Linked DNA regions of Caenorhabditis elegans. The protein of the gene in region 3 interacts with the protein of the main gene of each other region in a pairwise test. Each region holds a gene or a part of one and is shown on either strand. Other genes may lie near its edges.

What was found.
Region 1: the proteins of fzo-1 (region 3) and pdi-6 interact in a two-hybrid assay, tested with the Caenorhabditis elegans proteins (one large-scale study listed by BioGRID).
Region 2: the proteins of fzo-1 (region 3) and cct-4 interact in a two-hybrid assay, tested with the Caenorhabditis elegans proteins (one large-scale study listed by BioGRID).
Region 4: the proteins of fzo-1 (region 3) and pkn-1 interact in a two-hybrid assay, tested with the Caenorhabditis elegans proteins (one large-scale study listed by BioGRID).

Annotation. Positions count from the first base shown.
Region 1 is NC_003284.9:7,065,814-7,070,487, reverse strand, and holds pdi-6 (Protein disulfide-isomerase A6 homolog), read left to right. Parts: upstream 1-1,924; 5' UTR 1,925-2,047; coding exon 2,048-2,081; intron 2,082-2,187; coding exon 2,188-2,496; intron 2,497-2,578; exon of another isoform or gene 2,579-2,719; intron 2,720-2,918; coding exon 2,919-3,582; intron 3,583-3,633; coding exon 3,634-3,949; 3' UTR 3,950-4,146; downstream 4,147-4,674. UniProt on the Caenorhabditis elegans protein: May function as a chaperone that inhibits aggregation of misfolded proteins. May negatively regulate the unfolded protein response (UPR) through binding to UPR sensors.
Region 2 is NC_003280.10:8,281,888-8,286,241, forward strand, and holds cct-4 (T-complex protein 1 subunit delta), read left to right. Parts: upstream 1-1,779; 5' UTR 1,780-1,780; coding exon 1,781-1,884; intron 1,885-1,930; coding exon 1,931-2,603; intron 2,604-2,652; coding exon 2,653-3,255; intron 3,256-3,304; coding exon 3,305-3,529; intron 3,530-3,576; coding exon 3,577-3,594; 3' UTR 3,595-3,824; downstream 3,825-4,354. Other genes in the region: nst-1 (Guanine nucleotide-binding protein-like 3 homolog), read right to left, coding at 73-256, 305-1,070, 1,135-1,233, 1,283-1,301. UniProt on the Caenorhabditis elegans protein: Molecular chaperone; assists the folding of proteins upon ATP hydrolysis. Known to play a role, in vitro, in the folding of actin and tubulin.
Region 3 is NC_003280.10:5,832,810-5,838,069, reverse strand, and holds fzo-1 (Transmembrane GTPase fzo-1), read left to right. Parts: upstream 1-1,866; 5' UTR 1,867-1,869; coding exon 1,870-1,942; intron 1,943-1,988; coding exon 1,989-2,114; intron 2,115-2,165; coding exon 2,166-2,383; intron 2,384-2,434; coding exon 2,435-3,542; intron 3,543-3,591; coding exon 3,592-3,703; intron 3,704-3,748; coding exon 3,749-4,219; intron 4,220-4,265; coding exon 4,266-4,400; intron 4,401-4,448; coding exon 4,449-4,530; 3' UTR 4,531-4,742; downstream 4,743-5,260. Other genes in the region: ZK1248.15 (WW domain-containing protein), read left to right, coding at 14-161, 210-458, 508-905, 949-1,182; gtap-1 (Dynein heavy chain 7, axonemal), read left to right, coding at 4,838-4,894, 4,940-5,059, 5,106-5,209, 5,259-5,260. UniProt on the Caenorhabditis elegans protein: Probable transmembrane GTPase. Mediates mitochondrial fusion. Fusion of mitochondria occurs in many cell types and constitutes an important step in mitochondria morphology, which is balanced between fusion and fission.
Region 4 is NC_003284.9:10,395,652-10,403,112, forward strand, and holds pkn-1 (protein kinase C), read left to right. Parts: upstream 1-1,590; 5' UTR 1,591-1,744; coding exon 1,745-2,223; intron 2,224-2,481; coding exon 2,482-2,774; intron 2,775-2,823; coding exon 2,824-3,746; intron 3,747-3,818; coding exon 3,819-4,038; intron 4,039-4,089; coding exon 4,090-4,191; intron 4,192-4,466; coding exon 4,467-4,609; intron 4,610-4,825; coding exon 4,826-5,597; intron 5,598-5,648; coding exon 5,649-5,842; intron 5,843-5,893; coding exon 5,894-6,040; intron 6,041-6,137; coding exon 6,138-6,278; 3' UTR 6,279-6,925; downstream 6,926-7,461. Other genes in the region: gur-3 (Gustatory receptor family protein 3), read right to left, coding at 7,003-7,119, 7,172-7,267, 7,313-7,387.

The DNA.
Region 1 (4,674 bases), on a different chromosome or scaffold from region 3:
TTATACCTGTGTGTTGAACTTTGATCTCATTTCCCGTTGTGCCGAAGTCTTACCTGCTGAGCCATGATGGTCGCGCAAAAAGATGCACACTAGTAATAATATATCGTACTCATATTCTGATAGATATTTTTGAGGAAGTACCAGACATATCTGATTGATACGGTATTCTCACATACCTTGTTTCAGTTGTTTTCAAGTGTGCTCCCTAATGATTCTAAGTTCAGAATTTAGAGAATTACTGTAATTCGTGTTTGTTTCATGTCTCTTAATTTTATAAAAGTTTACATTTCAAAGGAACAGTTCAGTCTTAGAAAAATTCAAAATTTGATGCATAGGATTGACTGACTATTATCTGACTATTGGACTGACTAGGAGAAGAATCTTCCTGAAGATAACTTTTCTTTTTATTTTTAGATAAATTATATGGTTTATTAGATAAAATGGCAATAAAAATCAGACTCTGTTCGTACATTTTCTTTAACAATGTTAGCCATCAAAGAAAAATATTTAGAATTTGCCTTTGAAGGGACAAGTTTTCCTGTGAATTCTTTCAATTACATTGAAATTCCTCTATTGTAAATACAAATTAATCAAAAGACAAAGTGTCGATTTACGCTAAACATTGCGCATGTGGAATTTCGGAATCTTGTTCGTTCTTTACATCTGCAAACTTGGGTAAGAAGTTGGCAAAACTTGGCTAAGGCTTGGGCAGAACTCGGGCGAGGGAGTTTACACTAGAATTGCTGAAGTTGGGTAAGACTTGGGCATACTCTGGGTTAGAAGTTGGCAAGAGTTGGGTAAGAAGCTGAAAAGGCCCAAACTTGGGGAAGAAGCTGTCGGGAATTGCCGAGGAATTCTTTAGTGCTGAGACATCCGGAAAATGGTATTCGCCAGATAAGATGTTGTGGTAGGTCCTTAATATTTGGAGAATTCGCTGGTGTTGAATGGATTTTTGATTTGACTGAGCCAGTCGATCATCGTACGACGTGTTTGAGACATTGCATCGTTGATACACTCTTCTTGAATAGAATTTCAGCGGCATTTCAAGTAGCTTTATCAGACGTTTGGAGTTAGGGTTGTAGACCTCACATCCGTAATTCAGCAGCGGTTGAACGTAAACGTTGTATAACTTAAAGTACAAACTGACATTGGTAAAGCGAAAGCATCGAAGAAGCTGTCTACACTTGAGGAAAGCAGAATTTGATACATATTCGATATGTTTTTGGAAGTTTAGCTTGCAATCCACGAAAATGTCTAGATCGTTGACTGAATACTTTTTAATTATTTGTATTCCATTCGCATGATAATCTGTTCTTGGGTTGCGCTTCCCGAGGTGTATGACATTGGTTTTGTTCTCGGCCAAGTTTAAGTTTCACTTTGCACACCAATCAGTGACGACATTGATCGCTTTTTGCATAGAGTCCGAATTTTCACCGAGTATCTTGATATCGTCGGCAAATGCGTATACAAAAACATCCGTGGGGAACAGTTCCAGTAGGTAATTAATGTAGACAAGGAATAAGAACGGTCCACTGACCGTATCGCAAGATTATTTTGTTGGAAATCTTCAATTAACACCTTTATTCCAAATAACTATTTTTGGCATTGAGAGTGTTACAAGTTTATTTCAAGATAAACAATTTATAAATGTTAGATGTAAAAATATTTTTGAAAACAAGAAAGAACAAACACTGAGGAATTTTATTTTGTCGTGTAATCATCGAAATGTTTTCAGTTATTTCGATAAATTAATAGATTCTGTTAAAAAAACATTTTTTTTATTAAATTTTTCTTTTTAAAACGTCTTCCCTAACCCTCATAGTTTTCTCATTGCATTTCGCAACTCTCCATTTAATGCCTGTGCCGGGGCCGTGGCGAGAACTATTTGCGCAAAGCGCTCTACTGTACGACACGTTGACCAATCAACTGCACACACACGACGCGCAACGTCACACTCCCGCCCTCTGTACACGCATTTGACTCAGTTTGGAATCGCTCCCCATTCTGTACGGTCTCACAGACAAACCAGTGAGATTAGTGGATCGTCATGGCTCTCATCAAGTTGCTCCTCGCATCTTTGGGTAAGTTTTTGTTTTAGAAAATGTGAAGTATTCTTCATTTGGTGTTTTTGATTAGGAAAAAAGAATTTTATACAAAACTAATATTAAATTAATTAAAATTTTGCAGCGATAACTTCGGTATGTGGAATGTACTCAAAAAAGGATGATGTCGTCGAGCTGACCGAGGCCAATTTCCAATCAAAGGTTATCAACTCTGATGATATTTGGATTGTTGAGTTCTATGCTCCATGGTGCGGTCACTGCAAGAGTCTGGTCCCAGAATACAAGAAAGCTGCTTCAGCACTCAAGGGAGTCGCCAAGGTTGGAGCCGTTGATATGACTCAACATCAATCCGTCGGAGGACCATACAATGTTCAAGGATTCCCAACTCTCAAGATCTTCGGAGCCGACAAGAAGAAGCCAACAGACTACAACGGTAAGCAATTATCCAATTTCTTCTTAATAATTTACAAGCGGAAATTTGGATTGGTTGTCGACAAACTTGCACAAAAATAACTGAAAAAGGACAATAGTCACAAGCCGGTACGGCAAACAAAAACTGATTTGTCTCATTTCCACCCTCTCCCCACTCGAACTATTTTCTGTGTGCACTGTCGGTCAGTCAATTGAGCTGGCCGCAACTAGTTGTGTGTTTAGTAACTGTTTGCTCAGATATTATGTTTGGCCGATCCGCTCTATAGATGTGGACGACCTTGCGGCAAAGTAATTGTGCGTACCAGTCTATAGGGTGGAAGATAGGAGAGACGCCGGCCTCTGAGCGATCTGGGTCATTTAGAGCGTGCGTGTGTCTGTGTATGTGTGTAAAAAGACCAAGATGATATTGATTTATTTTTGCAGGACAAAGAACTGCTCAGGCAATCGCTGACTCGGTTCTCGCTGAAGCCAAAAAGGCAGTCTCTGCTCGGCTTGGAGGAAAATCATCAGGAAGCAGCAGCAGTGGATCCGGATCTGGATCTGGAAAGCGTGGAGGAGGTGGATCTGGAAATGAAGTTGTTGAACTTACTGATGCCAACTTCGAGGATCTCGTTCTCAACAGCAAGGATATCTGGCTTGTCGAGTTCTTTGCCCCATGGTGCGGACACTGCAAAAGCCTTGAGCCACAATGGAAGGCCGCCGCTTCTGAACTCAAGGGCAAAGTTCGTCTCGGAGCTCTCGACGCCACTGTTCATACTGTCGTCGCCAACAAGTTCGCCATTCGTGGATTCCCAACCATCAAGTATTTCGCTCCAGGATCTGATGTTTCTGACGCTCAAGACTACGATGGAGGACGTCAATCTTCTGACATCGTTGCCTGGGCTTCAGCTCGTGCTCAAGAAAACATGCCAGCTCCAGAGGTCTTTGAAGGAATCAACCAACAAGTCGTAGAGGATGCATGCAAGGAGAAACAGCTTTGCATTTTTGCCTTCCTCCCACACATTCTTGACTGCCAATCGGAGTGCAGAAACAATTATTTGGCTATGCTCAAGGAGCAATCCGAGAAATTCAAGAAGAACCTTTGGGGGTATGTTTTATATAATTTTACAAAATTTCATTCTAATTTAAATAATTTCAGATGGATTTGGGTTGAAGGAGCCGCTCAGCCAGCTCTTGAGGAGTCCTTCGAAGTTGGAGGTTTTGGATATCCAGCCATGACTGCTTTGAACTTCCGCAAGAACAAGTACGCCGTGCTCAAGGGATCCTTCGGAAAAGATGGAATCCACGAGTTCCTCCGTGATCTCTCGTATGGAAAGGGACGCACTTCTTCCCTTCGAGGAGATGGATTCCCAAAGATTCAGAAGACTGAGAAGTGGGACGGAAAGGACGGAGCCCTTCCAGCTGAAGACGACATCGACTTGTCTGACATTGACCTCGATAAGACCGAGCTTTAAAATCATGAATTTTCTACATACATCGACACCAAAAACTTACTCTCACCATGCAATTTTGTTTTAATTGTAACGGGTGTTCTCACCAGATAACTCGTCTAACTGCGTTACATCCATACATGTTTTGTGACTTTAGCGATTTTTCTCGTATTTATTTATTTTTGTTCTCTGTTTTGTTAAATAAAGTATTTCAGGAAGCTATGGATTATTAAAAGTGAAAATCAAAAATCTTCGGTTGAAGGTTTTCAAATTCTTGATTTTCTTTTTCAATACGGAACTAAGGGTTGAGAAATATTTAATATCGATGTAAGATATATTTTTAATAACTTTCAGCTGCTAGAGCAACTTAATAATTCAAACGTTACCAATTCAATTACTCGGGCACAAAGGGATACAAAACCAAAGAAGCAGAAAACTTGTGCTGGTCAGATCAAATAAGTAAAATTTGGTGATTTTCACCACTATTAGTCAAGAAACAAAGTTATGAACTGATATGTTTAGATTGTTTTTTTTTCTGGTTTATGTTCACATTCAACCACACCATTTGTTCTGAGCTTTTTCAAGGTTACGTGCTCCTAGTTCATATTCATAATTCATATTCATTTTCATTTTCATATTCATATTCAAAAGAGTTGTTTGCGATTTTTTAAAATAAATTTCCGAAATGTTGATTGTTTCAGAATATTTTACAGATTCTTTTTCAAACAAGACGTTTTCAATAAATTCAT
Region 2 (4,354 bases), 2.4 Mb from region 3:
AAAAGAGACCAGTTTGAATAATTCAAAAAATTTAATCAAGGCTTTTGACGATTATTATTGTTTTAAACTTACAGTTTCCTTGCTGCAACGACGAAGGATTGCGTGAACTGGAGCAATTGGATCAAGCAAATTGTCGACGCGAATAGCATTTTTAAGAGCAACCTCAATTGGATCCAAATCCTTTTGACTGACGAGAATGACTCCCGGGGAATCAATAAGACGGATATTTTTGTCCAACTCAACTTCTTGAATTTCTCTGAAAATAAATTTGATAAGCTTAGAAAAACAACTGAATTTAACTTACTTGGTGATTCCTGGCAGATTTCCTACGTTGCATGCCTTTCTTCTCTTCAAACTGTTGATCACACTGCTTTTACCGACATTTGGGAAGCCAACAACTCCGACGCGAATGCTAGTTTTAATGTCTTTGTTTCTACAGTAATTAGCAAGAATTTTCATCACAATGTCGGCACCGACGCATTTCGAGGTCTCAGTGTTGTTCAAAATAGCGCTGTTGAAACGGCCAATATTCGACTTTTGCTCTTGTGTTGAAGCCTTGAAAGCAATTGTCGGGAATTGACCGCGAAGATACTCGAGCCACTTCTGAACGTTCTCACGGGGCACCAAATCGATTTTGTTAAGAAGAAGAACCAATCGCTTTCCACCTTTTAAGACCTGATCCTCTACAGACTTGCTACGACTGCCGAGCGGATCTCTGGCGTCAAGTACTTGGATAATAACATCAGCAATCTCGACAGTCTTCCTAACTTCACTGGCATAAGCCTTGATTGTTTTGTCATCCAAGGTGTTGAACTTCTCATGTTCTGCAGCACTGGCAACTTTCTTATCAAATTCGGTTCCTTGTTTCGATGCTTTTGCGACCATACTTTCAAAATTGGCTGGCAAATTATTTTTTCTCTTTTCGATGCGATGAATTTTTGCAGCTTCTTTAGCAGCTTCCTGACGAACTTTTATCTTCTCGCGCTCCTGCTCTGCTTGGACCAGAATTTCTTCTTTGAAAGGACATGAATTCGGAACACTGATAGTCTTTTCTTTTTTATTAGTGGTTCCTGTAATAAAAAATTTTCCCATTATTTCAATAGCCTTATTTGCATTCTTTAAAACTTTACTTACCATTCTTTTTAGCCTCCTTCTTCACTTTTCTGTTATGGTCGCGAACTTTCTTCTCAATTTTGTAGCGCTTGGCGCAGCTGACTCGCTTACTGGTTTTTTCTGTAAAAGAGGTATTTTATAATATTGTTACAAATGTATATCAACTTACTCAGACAGTATTTCGCCATTCTCTGCTGACTGTTGGTTTCTTAAAAAGACAAATTGATTTTTCGACAAGAAAGAGGAAGAGAAACAAGAAATCGTAATATATTTTATATAATTAAATGTTTATATTATTTATTTAAAACGTTTTTCGAAAGCAAAACATAACATGTGAAAGAAAATCGACAAGCAAGGCCAGAAAATAAAAAGAATGCGAGTATAAATTAAAGGGAGGCACGTTGGTGAACTCAAGTGGGTCTCGCCACGAAACCAGTATTTCCACAGATCTTTCTGGCTCCCGCTTGAAAACTGAACGTTAAATTTAAAAGCTATAGAATTTCTAGAAGAATTATTATTTGTTTCTATATTTTCATCAAAATTAATGTAATAAAAGTTCGAAAATAACATTAGAATTAAGTTTTAAAATATTATTCCCTCTATCCGTAAAGTTGTTTTATTCATTTCTTCTGAGAGTCTGACTTCAACATCATAATTTAATTTGCAGATGCCACCAGCAGTTCCAGCCGCAGCTGCAACAGCCCGACAATCGGCTTCCGGTCGCGAGCGCAATTTCAAGGATAAGGACAAGCCAGAGAGTGTTCGCAATAGGTGAGCTTTGTTCCTTTTTGTTTTTAAATCACTAGTTCATTTTCAGTAACATCGTTGCTGCAAAAGCTGTTGCTGATGCCGTCCGTACATCCTTGGGTCCAAGAGGAATGGACAAAATGATTCAGTCCGGGAATGGGGATGTTACCATCACCAATGACGGGGCTACCATCTTGAACCAAATGAGTGTCATTCATCCAACTGCTAAGATGCTCGTCGAACTTTCAAAAGCTCAAGATATCGAAGCTGGAGATGGAACAACTACTGTCGTTGTTATGGCTGGAGCTCTTCTTGATGCTGCTCAGAACCTGCTTTCTAAAGGTATTCATCCAACTACCATTTCTGAATCTTTCCAAAGTGCTGCTGCCGAAGCTGAAAAGATTCTTGACGAAATGAGTTCACCAGTCGATTTGTCAAATGACGCTCTGCTCAACAAGATGGCTACAACATCGTTGAACTCGAAGGTTGTTTCTCAACACTCATGGTTGCTCGCACCTATGGCAGTTAATGCTGTCAAGAAGATCATCAATTCAGAGAACGATTCCAATGTCAACCTGAAAATGATCAAGATCATCAAGAAAATGGGAGACACGGTTGAAGAATCCGAACTCATCGAAGGAGCTCTCATTGATCAGAAAACCATGGGACGTGGTGCTCCAACAAGAATTGAGAAAGCCAAGATTGGACTCATTCAATTCCAGATTAGCCCCCCAAAAACTGACGTGAGTTGATTGAAGAAATTAATTTTTTAAATTCGCATTCAAATTTCAGATGGAAAATCAAGTTATTATCACTGATTATGCTCAAATGGATCGTGCTTTGAAGGAAGAACGTCAATACTTGCTAGAAATTTGCAAGCAGATTAAAGCTGCTGGTTGTAATGTTCTTCTGATTCAAAAGAGTATTCTTAGAGATGCTGTCAACGAACTCGCCTTGCATTTCCTCGCCAAAATGAAGATCATGTGCATCAAAGATATTGAAAGAGAGGATATCGAGTTTTATTCAAGAATTCTCGGTTGCCGACCAGTTGCCTCTGTCGATCATTTTAATGCTGATGCACTCGGATATGCTGATCTTGTGGAAGAGATTCCAACTGGAGGAGATGGAAAGGTCATCAAGGTGACTGGTGTTCAAAATCCAGGACATGCTGTCTCTATTCTTCTTCGTGGATCAAACAAGTTGGTGCTTGAGGAGGCTGACAGATCTATCCACGATGCTCTTTGTGTGATTCGATGCCTGGTTAAGAAGAAGGCTTTGTTGCCAGGAGGTGGAGCTCCAGAGATGGAAATCGCTGTAAAACTCCGAAATCTGGCACAAACCCAACACGGAGCTACGCAATACTGCTGGAGAGCATTTGCTGATGCACTTGAGCTCGTAAGTTACATTGAAAGTAATTAAAACCAATGATGGTTACGTTATACAGATTCCATACACACTTGCCGAAAACGCAGGATTGTCACCAATTCACACTGTTACGGAGTTGAGAAACAACCATGCTAATGGAAACAGTTCCTATGGAGTAAACGTACGCAAGGGATATGTCACAGATATGGTTGAAGAAGATGTTGTGCAGCCACTTCTTGTTACAGCATCAGCTATCAAGCAAGCATCGGAATGTGTTCGATCAATTCTCAAGATTGATGACATTGTAAGTTTATTCACAACTTATTTCTTTTCTACAACCTTCTGTTACAGGTCATGGCTGTCCGCTAATCAATACCTACGATTGACAAAGACAGTTCATAATACTTCCTGCTCTACCGCCTGACGAAAATTGTTACTTTATGGTTTTGCTTCATCCCAATAAGGTCTCTTAAGATGATGTCAAGTTTTAATTGCCCATCATGTGTGTTTAATACCCGTAAATGTTTTGCTGCTTTTCCGTTTGCATCCTATCCCGTTTTTTTCTGTTTTCAGTTTTGATAAAGAAATGCCTTCAACCGTTTTAATTTTGAAATACAAAGTGTAGAATGTTGAGACATGTTGAACAGACGTAACAGTTGGTAAATAACTTCAGTTGAAAGGCACACCTTGAAGTTTTGATAAAGTTTTGTTTTAATTAAAAACGTGTTCACGTGAACCCAGTGCACGTGGCAATCAAATTTCGAAAGCCGATCAATTAAAAGTTATTTCTTTTTGCCCCGCTGCCCGGAGGAGAGCCCGTTTTTGATGCTTTAAAGGTAAATTTCAAGATATTTAAATAAATTAAAAAAAATATATATATATATCATCATTTACTATATATAAAGCGCGTGTCCTTCTGTCCCTATGTAGTTTGATCTCTGATCAGAGCAACGAAATTTTGGGAAACCTTATGCTAAATGCGCAGCAGACATCGATCGAGGTCCGCGATAGACACCGTATATCTAATGTGTTTTCTCAAAAAAGTCGGGGGCCGCGCCGTAGGTGCGGTCCACGGCTGGTATATATATATTTCCGAGCATTTTAATAGCTGAAACTTTAGCATTTCGAG
Region 3 (5,260 bases):
AAATCAGTTGCAGGTAGAATCTCATTCCAATAAAATGCTACCACGTGTTCCATGGTCTTCTGAAGTTCGACCATTCAAAGATTTGCATTATCGTGCGTGTGCCATATTCGATACCTGTGCTCTTCTGGGAAATCCTGATGTTCTCAATGCTTCCATCGAAAGTAAAATATAGAGAATGATATTATTATTGAAATTTCTATTATTTTCAGAACAAATTCTCACAGTCATTCCATATTTTACATTATCTGAGCTAGATGGTCTTAAAAACGGATCAGGACACACTCGAATTGTAGCTAATTGTGCAAATAATAGTATAAAAGATCTTCTGGAAGAGAAGAATCAGTACTTGCATGTCGAGACGAGCACAGAGCAACAGATTCAGATAAACGGCTTCAGTGCAAACACAACTGTTGTAGATGATTTGATTCTAAGAACTGCATTGCGAATAAAAAGAGAAAGTAAGTTTTTTTCTTAAATTAAGATTCGAGAATATACCACAATTTTCAGTAATGTCAATTCCATCTACAATGAACCTCAATGATCGTGCTATTATACTCGTCACCGAGGATGTGAATCTTTCAAACAAAGCACTGACTCATGATCTGCACGTTGAGACAGTTAAATCATTCATGGACACCATTCATGGTCGGAAGAAACAACAAACGGATTCGGATCAACTAAATAGTTCAAGGAAGTCTTCGAATTCTGATAGAAGACAAACTACTAGGAAAGAACATCATGCTAATTCTCATTCTAACAAATACACTAGCAACGACATAAAATACAAAAGGAACGAAGCTGTTAAAAGTGTAAAGAAACATCGCGAATTGGAAAGTTGGATCAACGACTTAGCCAAAAAAGATGCTGGTCGCAATGCTGGTTTTGTTAAAGAAAACAAAGTAGAGGTAACAAAAAATTATTATTTTGTAAATTAAAATATGTTTTCAGGCTCCCAGAAAATCTCGACCATCGATCCCACTAGCAGACGAGATCACTCTTCAACCGTCTTCCTCAAACTCGGAATCATTTAAACCAAGAAAGACATATCCCTCATCAACATATCAATCATCTCAAAATGGAAACGTAGTCAAGACGACCAAGCCAAATAGTAATCGCCCAAAAATTCCGTTAAGCCTTTCGGATGACGAATGTACCTTCAACGACAATATGGATTGTTCCTGAATATTGTTTCCTATTTATAATTATGATTTTTCTGCATTCCTGCATCCGGTCTCATTGCATGTACGGTGTACTTTAGTGAATTATTTAGTGAATAAATGTTTTTTATGTTTTTTTTTACTTCAAACTTAATAGAATACCGCTAAATCAATAGAAATGTTTCGATTGTTTTTGCTTTCTAAATATATAAATCCAAAAAGCAATCAGAAGTTTAAGAAGAGACACTGCAGAATTTCAAGAACGGGGGCTTGCTGATTAAAAAATTTGCAGCAAGCATTATTCACAAATTTTCTACAAACTGCTTTCATAAAGTTTATTTATATCTTTTAATGTTTAAAACGGCAATTTAAAGCACAGTAACTTTTCTTAATCAAAAATAGTTCGATAGACAACTAATTTTTCTCACAAATCGTTGTCTCCCGATAATCGATTCTTTTGTGTACAGAGAGCGCGCTCCAGTGAACATTCTTTTTTTGCTCGCGACGGAGACAGAAATGGAAATTCTCTGATAATTCGAGTGTTCCTTTTCATTTTTTTTTATTATTCCAATGAATAATTTGATGTTTGTATAACCTTTTCGATATTTCAAATAAGATTTAATGTTTTCTAGACTTTTAAGCGATTTCGTAATCCTCGAATCGAATTTCCGGCTGATTTATGAGACTTTAAATATATTTAAGTTTTCAGGTAATGTCTGGCACAGCAAGCTTAGTTCATACTCTGCCGGCCAGTGGTGATTCTAATCATCGTGGACTTCACAGCTGTATGTTTATTCAACCTTTCAAAAAACAATGCAATAAACTTTTCAGTGAAAAATTCGCGTCGTGCTGCCGATAATGAACCACTTCTTCGATTTCGAGAAGCTAAAAAGGTTCTTGGGGATGTCTATGGAGAACTGAAAGACAATGTGGCTGAACTAGAAGGTGTTTACAAAGGTATTTTCTGTTTTTTACTTCGCCGCAAATATAAACCCACAAAAGTTCCAGATATTAAAGAGAACGACTTTGTTAGTTCTGAACAGCGGGAAGAAATCGAAGCAATTGGCGATTCAATCAAAACTATAATGGACACATTTCAAAGAGATAACATGAAGGTTGTATTTTTCGGAAGAACCAGCAACGGAAAGAGTACAACTATCAATGCGATGCTTCATGAGAAAGTGTTGCCCCAGGGAATGGGACATACAACATGTTGCTTTCTGCAGGTGAGAATCACTTTTTTTTCATATTTTATTGTAAATTTTTGAAATTTCCAGGTTGAAGGTTCAGAAGGCGAAGTTGGCCATCTACAATTAGATGATAATCCCCAAAAGATTGATATGAAAATGCTTGGAAAAATTGGACACGCACTGAGTGACGAAAATTCAGATCTTCCGGCAATGGGACAGGATTCTCTTTTGAAAGTGTTTCATCCAAAGAAATCGGAATCAGGGGAATGCCGACTTCTTCAAAACGACGTCGTCATACTTGATAGCCCTGGTGTCGATCTTTCTCCAGAATTCGATAGCTGGATTGACAAACATTGTTTAGATGCAGATGTATTTGTGCTTGTATCAAATGCGGAATCAACATTGACACAAGCCGAAAAGAACTTCTTCCTTCGAGTCGCGAAGAAGCTTAGCAAGCCCAACGTATTTATTCTCAATAATCGATGGGACGCCAGTGCAGCAGAAACAGAAAACATCGAAGATGTAAAAAAGCAGCATTTGACGAGATTCCGTCAGTTTTTGGTCGATGAGCTTGAAGTGTGCTCAGAAAGAGAAGTCAATGATCGAATCTTCTTTGTTTCATCGAGAGAAGTTTTGGAATCACGATTAAAAGCTAGGGGACTGGTACAAAAAGCCTATCAAGCAGAAGGTCATGGCACAAGAGCCTTGGAATTCCAAAATTTCGAACGACATTTTGAGCATTGTATCTCTCGATCGGCGATTCACACGAAATTCGAAGCTCATAACAGGAGAGCTCATGAAATGATCGGAAAAATGCGGCTCAATCTGAATAGCGTGCTAACCTCTGCAGCTGAGCAGAGAAGCAAGCTTCAGAATAATCTAAACGAATCCACCAGGACTTTCAATGAATGCCGTGTAAACTTCACTCAATTTGAAAAAGCTTACCGTGAGCAGACAGAGCAACTGCGAGCCGAAGTTCATCTGAAAGTTTCTGCTGATTTCTTTGAAGAAATAGCACGACTTGATGCAATAATTGATCGATTTGAACAACCTTTCGATGGAAGCTCTTCCGGAATGACAAAGTATAAAGAGGATTTGGCAATCTTTGTGGACAAATGTTTGAGCAGTGATTTGGAAGCTAGATGTACCGGTGGCCTAATGTCAAGAATTTGGAATTTGGAGAATGATATGTTCCGTAAGTGTTTATCTGGGAACTGATGTGTTATAAAAAATTTTTTTTCCAGAATATGTGACAAAAATCCTCGCCGAACCTTATCAGAATAAGCTTGAAGAAGTGTGGCGATATCGTGCTCCTTTCAAATTTAGCATTTGTGTCGATGTCCCTGCTCTTGTCAAGTGAGTTTCGATGGATTTTTTGTGTTTCATTCTTACATTTTTCAGTGATTTCCATGAAGACCTCGAGTTCCGATTCACATTTGGTCTACACGCAATAATTCGTCGCATCATTGCGTATCGAAGCGGCCAACCTGTCACTGCAATCAACACCAATTTGCTTACTCCATTATCACTAAAACAACAATCCGAAAAGAATTCAGTGAGAGATGCAGAAGCTTCTGCAGCTTCCGAAGAACAGGCAATGATGACTCAAATGGTTTTGACATCAGCCGCATTTTTAGCAAACGGAAGTCTTGGAGTGCTAGTTGTTGGTGGTATTGTGTATAAGGCTGTTGGTTGGAGAGTAATTGCTGTCGGAGGAGCGGCCTACGCTGGACTATATGCATGGGAACGAATGCGCTGGAATTCGGGAGCCAAGGAACAACATTTGAAAGAACAGTTCAGATCACATTTAGCTGCTCGAATGCAACAAGTTTCAACAGCTCATACTCATCACTGTGAAACACAAGCTATCAGGTATTTTTTAAACCGTATAGTTTTCAATTCAATTTGTTGTTTTCAGAGAAATGGACCAAGTCTTTGACGGATTGAAAGCAACTGTTGGTGGAGTCCATAGAGAAATGAAAAACGATTTGGATGTACAGAAGACACAAATTGATGCAGTTGATTCAACAATTCGAACATTGGGAACAATCAAGTATGTCCTCTTAGATCTGTGTCAAGAATTAATAAAATTAATTTTCAGAGGAAAAGCAGTGTTTCTTCTCCGAAATCTCGAACAATTTGCATCTTCTTATCTCCGATCGGACTCTCCGCCAACGCCATGAAAATGACTAGTCTGAATTTAACTAATTTTGGTGCTTTTCCCCTTATTCACTCAGTCCTATAGCTTTTAATTCGAACGATTGGTAATCGGTTCAATGTAGATATTTTGATGAGCTGTTTTCTCGTTATTTCTAGACAATTTCAGTAGTTTTAGTGTTTTGATTATGATACTTCTATGAGACGAATAATAATTCGAATAAATTTTTGTCGTTTGATTTTTGAGAAGATATTCAATTATCTGTATTTATATTCATCAGAATTTCTATTTATGTGTTGTGGTATTTGAAAATAGGAAAATATAATTCAGGTATGAATGAAGACGACGATGTTGGAATTTCTGTGGAATTCGATCAATGCACGCAGGAGGTACTGTAGGGAACCAAATATAGAAATAGTTAGAACAAATTTCAGACAATGTTCTACAATTCTTGTCTAGAAGATCGTGACGAAGGAGGAAGCGGAGACATCTCACGTGCTGATTCTGCAGTATGTCTCACGACACCTAGAGATCCGTTTCCAGCTGTTCTACAGGTAATTGAAGATGAACGAAAACTTTTTATAAACTGTTTTTTTTTAGAAGTTCAACTCATCTCGTAAGAATCATCAAATAAAAAAGTTTCATGATAGCAATGTAAAACGATGTCAAGAGTACAGAAAGAGTATGGAACATCAAAGAAATGGGTAAGAAATTCGGATTTTCAAAAACGAATATTAATCATTTTATTTTGAGAA
Region 4 (7,461 bases), on a different chromosome or scaffold from region 3:
ACCTCAATCCGTCCCGTCTGTCGACCCACCCGTCCACCCGTCAGACCGCCAGAGGCTGTTTTATATCTTGGGAAACGGTTTCCGTCCGGCGATTTGATTATTTCTTCTCCCTCTTTTCTCTCATTCAAACAGTGTGTCCTGAAGTGATTGTCGCAGAAATGAGGCAAACGAGGTAAAGACGAGGGAGAAGGCAAGGCGGAGAGTTCAGAAGTGTAGACAATTCCTCCTGTGCATGCACTGTCCTTTTCTACACCATTCTTCCACCGCCGTTGTGTGTTGCACGTTAGGGTGCATTCAATTTGAGGAAACGCAGAAACGGAGAGACAGTGCGCCCTCGCACTCGCATACGGAAAAAGGACTGCCCGGGGCCGACAATGGTGCGCGTACAGGGCCGCATAACGTCATCGTATGCTAACCTCCCAATTACGCCACGGGCTCATGGGACTATTTCCTTTCTTAGAAACAAAATGTTTTTCCTTCACATATAATGTCTTTATTAACATCATCCTGATCATTAGAGTTGATCATCATGTACTTCTTGTTCAAATCTCTCTTGGTTTGTGGCTCAATGAATTACGGCACGAGCAGAACATCACGTGGCACTACATCATTTCTGCTTCTGGGACTACTGCCAGCGTTTTTCATAAACCATGTGTCCTCACTAGATCTCATATAAATTCCATTTGTAAGAAAGAGAAAAACCTCACTTGTCGACAAGAAAATCAAACTAACCAGCTGATGTGTGTTGGTTTTCGACACCAAAGCATCGGCCGATGATTCAGAGACCTTATTTTTGTTGCTTTCAATTCCAAAACGAAACCAGCCACCTGTTCCCTGTGCTAGAGAACGTGTCCCAAATGTTCGAGAAAAACATGAACCACGCTGACAGATGTTTTTGTTACAAATATATTATATTTTGTTCTTAATTCGAAATATTTCCTAGTCGTGCTCCCGTTTCGTTTTTCTGTCATCCAAGCATATTAGTATACACAAAAGTTTGCAAATATGTGTTCCTTGCCTGTCCTCCTCTCACTTCCCACTCGTAACTACCATCGATCGCTCTCTCCCTTCACTGTATTTGTGTTAGCGAGCACACTCATTTGCTCGTCTCCCCTTCTCGTCCGTCCACCAGCACCCCCCCCCCCAAGTATCACAAGGGAAGGCTATCTCCTCTATATATTTTGTTCTCCATTTTCCTCTGTATTCTTCTAGTCTCGTGTTGGCGCCAAAAACCCTACGGCGTCACACAAACACTGACAAATACCACACACTATTCTTGGTACAAGCCATTCTGAGGCCTATTGGCAGCTTAAGCTCGTTTTCCATGCCCCGCATCGGATCCCCTTGGGATCTGTCGCATCAAGGGCATCCACCAATCATCCTGCTTGTTGGGGGAATCTGGTGCTCTGTTGCTGTCAAAACTGACAGAAAAGGAATTATGCACCAACAAAGAGCATGTACAATTGTGGTTTTAGACGTTTTTTTCACTTGGTTTTTTGATTTTGTATTTTGTGACTTGATTCTCATCACAGTTCTTTCTTATTCCCTTTGTACTTGAATCCAATTCTTGTTCATAATTTCATAATTTCAGGGTACCTGCTTGCCATCAACTTGGACTAACGTGATCGGTGCAAAACGTGCTCAATCGCTTTTGAATCAATATCTAGCAAATCTACTCACCAACAACTGAACGTTTCCATCCTTTTGTTGTTTACGTCCCTCTTTGGACGCCAAAGAAAGAACTATGGACTACCATTCCAACGGGAATGGAATCAATGGGATGAATGGTTCAAGTCGTCATTCGGCGGATGGACCGTCCACTCCAACTCACTCTGGAAATGGTCATAGTAACGGAGAAGGAAATAGGTACGCTTTGAGTGCTCATCGTAACGTTGTTAAGCCGTTAGGTTCAAACTTTGGAGCCAGTGGCTCTGCAACAACTTCCACCCCAAAATCAGTTATCTCCTCGCTAACCTCTGCATGTAACAACTCGCCTGTCTTATCATTCACTCGTGGTGTGCTTCGTGCTAGTCGTAAAAAGATTCGCCCATTGTTTTCTACATTTTCCACCTCGTCAAATACTGGATACTACCGTTTCGAAAGCCCTTCGTCAAGTTTGAACGCCTACTATCCTCAAGAATCGTTCAATGGACCAATCCTCAAAATGATCACATGCACAGAGTCACCACCGAGAAGTCTGGATGTTTTGAAACGCTCGAAAAGGTTTTGCTTTTTGCTTTTTGGGTGTGGATGTCTGATAATTTTCAAACTACGGCATGATTCTTTCCCTCTGTAACAGCTTGAACTTTTTCACCGCACCTCTGTTTTTGGAGCTGAAATTTTGTAGTCTCATGCATGCCACCGCCTTTTTTAATGCTCTCACTACTTTCAAAAAACTAACATTCGAACTTTATTTGAAGGAAAAAACTGAATGTCTGTACAACTCTTGTTATTAAAATTTTTGTAAAATATCATTTTCAGCACTTATTGGGAGACAGCTCCTGCTGAAATGGTTGAATTGGCAGATAAGTACAACTTCACTATCAACGAAGGTAGCAGCATCCAGCAAGAAGCTCTTGAACTTCGATCTGTGATTCGGAAGGATTTGACCAAAAAACTGAAGATCAAGAGTGGATATAGTCGTATCAAGCTGATCACTTCGGATCGTCGTCAAAGCGAATTTCTTCGTTATGAATTGTCTGATTTAAACGAGCAAATTGCGGATCTTCAGGAAGATCTTCAGGCGTTGGAGATGTACAACAGTGGAGCTTTTGGTAAGACATGCAGCAAATAAAACATTTCGTTTCAAAATTTATCTTTCAGATGAGGATGTGATGTATTTGGATAACCTTGAGGATTGTGATGTGGAGAATGGACCACCAAGTAAGCTTGTTATTCTCCAGCTTGAATTGGAAAAAGAGTTGAAAGTGAAACGAGGACTTGAGCAATTTTTGCGTGGAGCTCCAGACAAGTCAAAAGTGCATGGTGACTCACAGAGTCTTCTTGACGATAGTCGCGCCAAGATTGCAATGCTCCGTATGCAAATTGAACGTCTTTCACAAGAAGCACCAGCGGTTGAAGGAGAGCCAAAAACTAAAGTTGAGCTTGCCATCGATGATCTCATCATTCGTTTTCACAAGGAGAAGCTCATCATGGATGGTTCCCGAAACATGATCCGTATTCTCCGCTCAAAAAGGAAGCCAGATAGCAAAGCTGTCGATGAGGCCATGAACAGCTATGTTATTGCTTCGGAGAAAGCCGATCTCATCAAGTTGGCCTTGCTGAAGTATGCATCCAGTCTTCCACTTGAACACGATCACAGAAAATATCTTATTGGAGAGATTAACAGTGGACTCATCCCAAAACCACCTTCTCTCAGCCAGGATCGTAACAGTCCATCCAGCGAAGATGGTGGAAACGGAACTTCTACATCTCGCCGTTGCAGTTTCATGCCATATTCTCTGCAAATCAGTGGATGTCTTGAAGTCACTATCAACGGCTGCGCTGGTATTCTCAGCGAGGTCTTCGAGCGGAAAATCCGCAAAGATGTTCCCGGAGTTCCTGGTTTCATTTCAGTCTACGGAATGGATGCGTCTGGAAAGAAGAAGAAATCTGCAAGAGGTCCAAACAGTTCAGAGGAAGTCTTCTGTGTTCTTCGTATTGACAATCGTTTCATTGGAGCTACAGAGTTGAGAAAGATTGTTGATCGTAATTGGGATCAGAAGTTTGATGTTGATTTGGATCGTGTAAGTTCACAGATAGTGAAATTGAAATACATATCAATAGTACATACCTGAGTAAAAATTAAATTCTTTCAGTCTCGCGAACTTCAAATTGAACTCTTCTACCACGATGACCGTTCCATGTGTGGATTTGCTGCAGTTAAGCTGTCTAATCTTATTGAGACGTCGTCCAAGGTTGGAATTATTGTACCTGTTGAGCCACAAGGAAACATTTTTGTTCAATTCAAATACATGAACCCAGTGGTGAGCCGCAAGCCAAAACTCGAACGTCAGAGACGTTTGTTCCGCGTGAAAGGTGATTGAATAGCATTGCATAATGTCCTATGTCAACTATAATCTTTTTCAGAATCGAATGATGGAGCCCGTCAGAAACTTGGCGTCTTCGCGTTCTCGCGTCTCATCAAGAACAGAGGAAATGAGCCAAGCGAGAAGTTTGCTGCTTTCACTGGTATGTCATCACCAAGAGTTCACATTCCCTTTTTGCATAGGCTCAGTCATGCATGAAGCAGTGACTTGCTGATTTTAGATTTACTTGTATAAATAGATATTTACGGAGCTTAAAAAGCGCAGTTTTTTAAAATAAGCCACTATAGTTGTTATTATTTTCATGACTAAATTTGAAATGGATGATCTCCCTATTAAAAATTTCATCAGAAAGTGATTTCATTTTACATTTTTTGTTTTTTACCTTGTAACAATTTCAACAACAATGTCGAATTCCAGGATTTACTCCAATGCCTTCATCTTCATCTCAACATCAACCCGGCACATCATCTTCTGGCCCATCAACATCCTCGTCAATTGCTTCTACTCCTACACCATCCACGTCGAACTCGCTCTTCGACAAGGTCAGTAACCACTTGCCTGTGAGTAATTTTGGTTTTCTAATCGTGTTTGTACAACGTGCCCATAACCAGCTATCGTTTATATTATGTCAGTGAAAATTTATTCTATAGCCTTTATGATAATTTCGCTTGTTTTCGATTTGTGAACTGTGTTTTCTTCTTGAAGTGGTTTTTGGAGTGTTGTGCTAACATTCTTGAAATGTCATGTGAATTTCTCTCAATTATTAAAACTTGCAGAGCTTCAACCCAAGAAAGTCAGCCAAGAAGCGTGAGGCCAGAGAAGCAGCTGCAGTGGCGCCAATGACTGCTGCCGTTGCAGCAGTCAATCTCAACGCTCCTTCAACCTCCAATTCTATGCAGCCATCAACTCAAGAACGTAACCTGGTTGTTGATGAGTTCCCAACCGACCGTTCTGGTCCAAGTCAAGCACCGCCTGTGCCAGCCGTTCGCCACATTGATTTCTTCGCCAGCAGCGATGGTGCGCCGCTGACTGTTGAACAATTCAGATTGATCAGTGTTCTTGGACGTGGACACTTCGGAAAGGTCATCTTGTCACAACACAATCCAACTTCCAACTACTACGCCCTCAAGGTACTGAAGAAGGGAGACATTCTTGGAAGAGACGAGGTTGAGTCTCTGATGGTTGAGAAGCGTATCTTTGAAGTATCATCCCGAGCACGTCATCCATTCCTTGTGAATCTCAACGGCTGCTTCCAAACCAACGAGCACGTGTTCTTCTGCATGGAATACAGTATGGGTGGTGACTTAATGCGTCACATTCACGATGACGTGTTTGATGAAGTTCGTGGATGTTTCTATGCTGCATGTGTCGTTCTTGGACTGGACTTTTTGCACAAGCACAACATCATCTACCGTGACATCAAGTTGGACAATCTCCTCTTGGACAGAGAAGGATATGTCAAAATTGCCGATTTTGGTCTATGTAAAGAGAACATGGGACCATTTGACAAGACTAGCACTTTTTGTGGAACTCCAGAGTTTCTTGCTCGTAAGTTTATAATTTATCCATTGAAAAATGTTAATGAATGTTCTTTTTCAGCTGAAGTCTTGTCTGATTCTTCATACACTCGTGCGATTGACTGGTGGGGACTCGGAGTTCTTATTTTCGAAATGCTTGTAGGAGAGCCACCATTCAGTGGAGATGACGAAGAAGAGATATTTGACTCGATTATCTCCGAAGACGTTCGCTATCCAAGATATTTGTCTGTTGAGTCGATTGCCATTATGAGAAGAGTGAGTTATAAACGAGCATGATGTCATTGAATTACAAATTTATTGTTTCAGCTCCTTCGCAAGGTGCCTGAAAAACGTCTTGGATACGGAGAGCGAGACGCTGAAGATATCAAGATTCAACGATTCTTCCGTCACATCTCATGGGAATGGGACAAATTGCTGAATCGTGAGATTCGTCCACCATTCCAACCACAAATTGTCAGTTTTTGTTAAATGTTCAAATAATTTACTATTCTCTTTCCTGTTCTCAACATACAGTTTCGCAATTGAGTCATTGTTATAATTCAATTTTCAGCGCAACCCAGAAGACGTGTCTAACTTTGACCTGGAATTCACCCAAGAGAAAGCTCGTTTTTCTGCTGCTTCGAGCACTCGTCCAATCACTGAAGCCGATCAGCGTTTGTTCAACAATTTCGACTTCTCCATTGTTCCATAAGTATCATAATTTGTCACCGGTTTTCTATTGATCAACTTGTACCATGGGATTTATTTCATTTCTTGTTTCTACTTGTCAAGGTCTTGTTTTTTAAACTGTCAACTAGTATTGTCAAAAATTTTGATTTCGCTTTCTATTTTAGTTTTTTCTCCGTATTTTTCAATTTCGTATTCTCGTTTAACGATTTCTCCTGTCTGATAGTTGTAATTTCTTGTGAACTGCTCTGTGATCAGACTCCAACTCAATCTTCCCAAAATGTGTTTCTTTTTACTATTTGCTAGAATATTTCAAAAAATATTCTTTCATCTGCATTGGTTTTTTTAATTCAACGTCATCGTGTTTTGTCATTAAGTAGTTTACCCCGTCTCTATTTCCGCTTTGTAATCCTCAAAAATTAACACATTCTGTTAAATTTCCACCAAATTATTGTATTGTAACTTTTTGTAGACCGCTTGACGAGTGCGCTTATTCTTTTTTTTGTCTTTTTAGTCCAACAGACTTCCCATTTTACATCCATTTAGCCCCTCTTTTCAGCCATTGGTATATACTGGCCACTTTTTATTTGTGTTTTGTAAGAAAAAAAGAAAAAAGAAAATGACTTTCTTTCTTGTATTTAGGAGACATGAATAAACAATTTGTCAAATACATTGCGTAGTTACAAATGAACATATTGGAAACTAATTGAAGTTGGCTCAATATGGGGAAAATGTTAAGACAATTTTATTTACACAGGTGGTTGGACAATGAGCACACGAGATTGATTATTGCATTCTCCGGCTCGCTCCTTTTCAGCATCAAACTGTACCAAAATAAGAAAATATGTGAAAATTGCAGAGAACAACTGAAATATTTTAAATATCAACTAAAAACCAGCTGCACGCCTTTAAACGTACACTGATCATAATTTTGCGATTCATCATGAAGAAATTCCCGGCGGTGAGAGTAAGCTTTGTAGCATGCATTTGAAACGAAAGAAAACTCATTTGAGACTGAAAGTAGAATTGATCGATTTTTTTTTGAGATAACGAACACACCAAAACTAGAAGATCACGTTCCTCACATAGAGTTTCGTGATACATTTTGAAAGAAGCGGTTAGAAGTTTGTCGCCCTGTAATTATTAATTTTTATTTGTACAACTTAATGTTTGGATATCAATTTTGAATTACTGCGTTTGCGAACATA